Tribolium castaneum: one gene and its partner. The protein of the gene in region 1 binds, or shares a complex with, the protein of each later gene. Links are inferred from orthologs where the notes say so. Each region holds a gene or a part of one and is shown in the gene's direction. Other genes may lie near its edges.

Region 1 (4,258 bases):
ACAGGAAATTAGCATAATTTACATTCATCGCGTGCCTTTAAAAATATTCAAAACATGCCGGTGACTACGCCGGTCTAATATTTGTCTGCTCGCTGCGGGTCTACGAACTATTTGGCACGTTTTTAATCCAACAAGAATTTTAAAAATAAATGCGATTCATTGTTTTACTTGTTGCGATTACGATTAAGAGAAATTGACCCACCTGGGTTGCAGTCGGTGAGTAGGGAGCAGATAGATAAGAGGACCTTGGAGATGGTGAGGGCGGGCGACCAGTTGTCTTTCAAAATATCCAAACAGATGACGCCCTGACTGTTGATATTGCAGTGGTAGATCCTCGTCCTGAACGTGACTTTAGGTGGCTTGAAGGGGTACTCTGGCGAGAAGTGGATGTCCAGGAAGAAGACGCCGCCCTCGTAGACGGACCCCGGGGGGCCCAGGATCGTGGACACCCACTCGTAGAAGTTCTCCCCTTTGGGGCCCGCACTGCAGTTCGGCGGCGGGTCTAACGTGATTTCTGCTAGTTCTTTTTGGATTCTTTTCGCTGATGTGCCCAAGGCCTTTGACATTTTCTGGTTAGGCTTTGATTCTTTTGTTTCCTTTTGATCACCGACTGCTGCTTGACCGCCTCGACCACGGCCTGATCCGCTAGACCCAGCTGAAGACATCGAGCTAAACAAAACAAAAAATCACCTCTTTGTTCCTCCCGGCGCTCGCCGGGGGCTGACGGGCGACCGTGCGAGAGAGTCACCTCAAGCAACAATGGGGTTCAATGTCTGATTGCGATCGCCGGGACAGGTAACCGATTATTGCGACCCTTCTCAAAACCAAAATTGATTCCTGTCAGCTAAGTCGGCCATTTTGATTTCAAGCATTACACAAGCCGTAAATTTCCATTAAATTGGGAAAAACGGGACGGAATTCAATAATTATCGATTAAAACACAACGCCGAACCCGAAATTACTGTAATTTCGATACGATATCGCTTTTATTGGGCGATATTTACGGCACAAGTTGACGATTTTTTTCAGCGCCTACTCGGCTAATACGCGCATAAACGGCCCTAATCGAGTTTCAGGAACGTGAAACTGGCATTGAACGGGAAATTTCAGCAGCAATTACACTTACTTGTATTAATTTTTGCACTAAAAACTGAAAACAATTCACTCCCTTTTTGCTAATATCGGCTCATGGCGTACTCGCTGAGCACTCAGGCCTGCCACCATACTACCGGAAATATGCAAAAACTGCACAGCCCAAAAACCTGAATTTCGATTATTTGCAACAAAACCGCCCTGTGCCACACCCCCAGGGCGTCGGTCGCCAACACCTCGCCGAAAATTACCAAAAAATTGCGGATTATTTTTTAAAAAATTCAAAATCCTTTGCACCCATCTAGGGGCATGAAGAGTGCGCGTGTTGTCTACCTGTTGTTGTGACAGCGAGCTAACCTCAAAGTCGTGTGATTTATATTTTTTAATTTTACCTCTTTACAAGTTACAGCAAAATGGGGAAGCGCCAGCACCAGAAAGACAAAATGTAGACCTGTCCAAAATCAGTTTCAAGTGCGTAATTAACGCAATTTTGTTTAAGGTACTTGACGTACACAGAGTGGACCACTCTTTACGGGGGCAAAAAATCGGGTTATACGACCGCGGAGGAGGACTATTTTAAGCGGCTCCCGTTTGACCACTGCTGCCTGTCGTTGCAACCGTGGGAAATACCCTACTGTGACTTGGACGGCAATATTTTTGATTTGGAGCCTTTGCTCCCCTTTTTGAAGAAGTTCAAGATAAACCCAGTCACGGGAAAGCCTCTGGATTTCAAGTCGTTGGTGCAGTTGAATTTCCACAAAAATGAAGAAGGCGAGTTTGAGTGCCCCGTCCTTTACAAACAATTCACCAAAAGCTCCCACATTGTGGCGATTGCCACCACTGGAAACGTGTACTTGATGGAAGCAGTGGAACAGCTTAATATTAAGAACAAAAACTGGAAGGACTTAATCAGTGATACGCCCTTCGAACGCAAGGATATCATCATGTTACAGGACCCACTAGACTTAAATAAGTTCAACATTTCCAACTTCCACCACGTCAAAAACAATTTACGAATCGAAACCGAGGAGGAAATCAAGGAGAAGAACGACCCTCAAGGCCACTTGAAAAACGTGAACCCTGAAACAAAATACACCCTTGAGGAGCTAAAACGGGACTACAAAGAGCCAACAATTGAAATAAACAAAGTCGAAGTTAAGGAAAAGGCGGACAAGTTCAACGCTGCCCATTATTCAACGGGGGCTGTGGCTGCGAGTTTCACCTCAACAGCGATGGTCCCCCGATTGGTGCACGAAGCCGCAGTGAAGCACGAAGATGAGGTGCGATACGACAGAGTCAAGAAAAAAGGCTATGTGAGGTTAATCACGAACTTGGGGCCCCTCAACTTGGAGATTTACTGCGACGAAGTGCCACGTGCTTCGGAGAATTTTATCAGGCATTGTGCGAGTGGCTATTACAACGGGACGAAATTTCACAGATCTATTCGGAATTTTATGGTAGGGACCCATCATGGGGGCTAAAACTAACGAAATGTAGGTTCAAGGGGGCGACCCGACGGGGACAGGGACTGGGGGCGAATCCATTTGGGGGAAGAAATTCGTTGATGAATTCAGGCCCAATTTGCAACATGTGGGGCGAGGGGTCTTGTCTATGGCCAACAGTGGGAAAAACACAAATGGGTCACAGTTGTATGTTTTACGCAGCCTTTGACTTTGAAGTTAAGTTGGCAACAATGGCAACAGTCAAATGTTAACTTTAATAGTCAATTGTCGTTTGAAATGTCAAAGTGACAAAAAAACTCATTTATGTCATAACTAGGGAGGACTATAAGTTAGGAGATGAAATCGCAGGATTTTCTGAACCTAAAAAATAGTACGGTGGACTAAAAATGAGGGCGCTTTGAGCGTTATACTGTCTCGGCGCCAAATCGTTTTAAATTAATTTAAATTCAACCAATGTTGAGCTTTGCACCCTTAAGTCTGAGAAAAACTGACGACTAAAATGTTTGTGATTTTTTTTTAAATCTGCGCTTTGTCTCGTATTTTTCAAGACGCTGCAAATACGGTTGAAGATACAAAAAAAGTGTAAGGAACAAAATTGTAGAGAATTAAATTTTTTACAAAAAAGTCCACGACACCATATTTCTATTTTAAACGGTTTGGTTATAAACTAACTTTTCAATACTTGACCACTGGCAAAATGAAGCAAATTCGTCGCTTGAGCGTCTTTGGGCGATTTTGGGGCCTAAATGGTTGAAGATAGGGATATAGTCCCGCGGACTTTTTTGTAGGAAATTTAATTGTCTACAATTATCTTTCTAACATTTTTCTTGCATCTGTAACCGTATTTGCAGAGTTGTCAAAAATATGAGTCAGAGTGCAAGTTGGTAAAAGTTTTTATTTTAATATAGTTTAAGATAAAATTTTTGCATTACGTTTATGTCCTACTATTGCGAATTTAATGCTCTATCTGCCTGTATTTTTTTGTTTGTCATGTGTTAACCGTTATGCAAACACAACCATTTTTTCAAATTCATTGCACTGAAAATTTAGACGGTAATGGAACATCTGCGCTCTCTGGCGACATTAACGGAACTATCGAATACAGGAACGTTTTATTTGTATGTCGTTTCATATCCTAACTTGTTTATATCCGTAGCCATAACTTTATTTTTTACAAAAAAAATGAGTAAATTTTCCCCATACTTTTTCCAAACTTTTAATGATTTAATGAATACACAAACTGAAGTATTTTTCATGATATAACGGGAAATGCCAACGTCCAGTTTTGCCAACTTAATTTCAAACTCAGCCACTGAGCAATAATCAAAAATTTAATTGTTTTTTTTTTTAGTTTCATAACATACAGGTCGTGCAAGCACTTGAATAATAAGCACACGATTTTTGGTCGTTTAGTTGGTGGCATGGAGACTTTAAACGAAATGGAAAAAATTGAAGTGGACAATAAGGATAAGCCCATTGAGGATATTGTGCTTATAAGGGCGCAAGTTTTTGTGAATCCATTTGAAGAGGCGGACGAACAAGTGATTGTCTTATTCTGTTGTAATGTGTTATTTTTGGTCAATTTTTAGTTGGCGAAAGAACGCGAAGAGGAATTGAAAAGACAGAAGGAGGAAGAAGAGGCGAAGAGACGTAAAGCGGAAGCTCAAAAAACCCTAAAAGTGTATAAAAGTGGTGTTGGGAAA
Region 2 (2,532 bases), on another chromosome or scaffold:
CTTAGAATGTTATAAGAAGTAATAAAAAAAAATGTTTGCACCGCACAAAATATATTAAAACATATTTTCTGAACTTACCTTTAAATTTTAATTTTAAATTTTTTTTTAGTTTTTTTTTTTGAAAACACGAATGTTCGGTAACTCAAAATATACTTTTTCAAATTATTGTGTATGTTATATCAAGTAGGTTGAGGAAGTCTAAATATTTAATTTAATTTAATGACCGGAACAACATTATTAATAACAAAAATCTTTTTTTCTATATTAATTACTTTGTTAATTTTAATGAATTCTTTTTCTACCTCAGAAGCTTGAGTACACGTATTTATTGGAAAGAATAATTATAGAACAGATTAAGATTCATAATTAATATAAAAAAGTATATTTTGCTGACAACTGCTAATTTGTAGAAAAGAATTGTAGAAAAATTTTGAAAAGAATTACATAGATAAAAAAAATTAAATATTTATTAGCAAACGCTGGAAACCAGACAGAAATGCCTAAGTTTGTTGTAGATTAAGTTTACAAAAATAATAATAATCTGAGTGATCAATGATTTTAAATCTAAGTTGGCCACAATAACTATCAAATCTAAACGTTAATTTTTGTACTCGATTTTTAAATTTCACCTACAATTTATAGTACCAATAATAAAAATAAGTGTTGCCAACTTAATTTCAAAATGTATTTTGCTCTGTTTTCCAGAACGGACAGATGATGATGATAGTGATGACGATGATAGCGAGATGGAGGATGCTTCTGACGAAGAATTGTCAATGGACGAAGATGAAGATTTCGATGAAGATGACCTTGAAATGAACGATGATGACAAAAGTATATTTTTTGTAATAATAAAACACAAAATTATCCTTTGCTTGCAGTGCTTCTGGGTGACTTAGACGACGATGAAGACGAGGAAGTTGTTTTTGACGATGAAGAACCGAAGTCAGCAAAATCAAAGAAGAAAAAATCCAAAGACACAAACTCAATATTTGCATCAGCTGAAGAATTTGCCTCATTGCTTGACGATGAAGGTAGTTCGAAAATAGCCCCAGGAAGTTCAAATGCGTTATCAAATAAGGATAATGCGAGCACTAAACAACTTGCCTGGGAACAGAGTAGAAATAGGTGGTTGAAGGGATTTGATGAAGTAGTTGGCAAAAAGAAAAATAGTAAAGGTAGCAATTTTGGCAAGAAAAGGAAAGGTCCAAATAAATTTAATAATAAGGCAAAGAAGAGGAAGAATTAATAATCGACAAGGAAGCAGTCGATTGCATTTTAATTAATATAATTCTTTACGAATCCACCAGTTTTGTGTTTTATTTAATTCGTGTTGGTTGTATTTCGCGAATATACAACTACACATAACCCATAACCTAACTTTTCGTGACGTTTAACAGTACGTTCTGTTTATTATCTTCGTGTTTACAATTTCGTACCAAATTCACAATAATTATCGTGTTTTGTGAAAATGGTGTGCGAAAAATGCCAAAAGAAGTTGGGCAAAGTGATAACACCAGATCCTTGGAAAAGTGGGGCTAGAAATACAACTGAGTCAGGGGGTAGGAAAGTTAACGAAAACAAGGCTTTAACAGCTAGCAAAAACAGATTTAATCCATACACGTCCAGTTTTGAGACTTGCAGGTTTGTTAATGCAAGTAATCCTTAAAATTGATTTACTCTTCTCATGTTTTTATTGTAGAATATGTAGGCAAAAGGTGCACCAGGTTGGGTCACATTATTGCCAGTCCTGTGCTTATAAAAAAGGAATTTGTGCGATGTGTGGTAAGAAATTGTTGAGTACGAAGAATTACAAACAATCGTCAACTTGAACTACATTTTGTGTGTTACTTTTAAACAAAATTAAGCCTATTCTAAGTTTTAGAGCAATTTGCATTGTTTTGTAGGTACTGTTAGGTTTTCTGTCTGTATACAGTGAGTGTACGACAATTTAATTATCTTGAATGATAAGGTGTGTAATTATATTTAATAACTTATGACAAAAGTTTTTTATTTCATTTTTATGATAACATTTTTAACTTATTAATTCATTTCTACCTATTCTATCCCTATTTCTTTTTTGTTATTAAGGTTGACTATACATTATTAAAACGCAACTATCAAATATTCTAGAATTATTATTTGGACTTTTTTATAAACTAAAAAACTGTACCTGTAATATTATTTCCACAAAGTTAAAATACGATTTTGTCTTATTGCACTAAAAAAATAATTGAAAAAATTGATGTCTGTCGTATTATTAAATACTTCTAAAAGTGGCTACACTGTATATAACCTTTTAGAAATGAATTTCAGCGATTGGATTTTAAAAATTCACTTCCCTGTATATAAAAAAAACGTGACGAAGTCGTAACAAAATTCAATGAATCAGACAAACCTCTTTGTTTTCCACCTTGCAGTAATTACTTATCTCAGTGATTATATTTTTTGTTGGTGACGTTTTATCCATACACTTACACAATACTGCCGTTTAATTTTATTCAGTTTGGTTCTTGCTTTTGACGCAAACGG

The links. Proteins that work in one complex are often made in the same cells at the same time.
Region 2: RING-type E3 ubiquitin-protein ligase PPIL2 (region 1) and cysteine-rich PDZ-binding protein share a complex: the UniProt entries of both Homo sapiens proteins name them as parts of the minor spliceosome. The link is inferred for Tribolium castaneum from reciprocal best matches to the Homo sapiens genes PPIL2 and CRIPT.

What each region holds. Positions count from the first base shown.
Region 1 is NC_087395.1:15,994,790-15,999,047, forward strand, and holds the start of RING-type E3 ubiquitin-protein ligase PPIL2, read left to right. Parts: upstream 1-1,390; 5' UTR 1,391-1,505; coding exon 1,506-1,537; intron 1,538-1,591; coding exon 1,592-2,549; intron 2,550-2,589; coding exon 2,590-2,741; intron 2,742-3,906; coding exon 3,907-4,096; intron 4,097-4,144; coding exon 4,145-4,258. Other genes in the region: Ubc2 (ubiquitin-conjugating enzyme E2-24 kDa), read right to left, coding at 203-665. UniProt on the Homo sapiens protein: Has a ubiquitin-protein ligase activity acting as an E3 ubiquitin protein ligase or as an ubiquitin-ubiquitin ligase promoting elongation of ubiquitin chains on substrates.
Region 2 is NC_087394.1:8,405,542-8,408,073, forward strand, and holds cysteine-rich PDZ-binding protein, read left to right. Parts: upstream 1-1,354; 5' UTR 1,355-1,471; coding exon 1,472-1,644; intron 1,645-1,702; coding exon 1,703-1,832; 3' UTR 1,833-2,008; downstream 2,009-2,532. Other genes in the region: Noc1 (CCAAT/enhancer-binding protein zeta), read left to right, coding at 706-834, 882-1,249. UniProt on the Homo sapiens protein: As a component of the minor spliceosome, involved in the splicing of U12-type introns in pre-mRNAs. Involved in the cytoskeletal anchoring of DLG4 in excitatory synapses.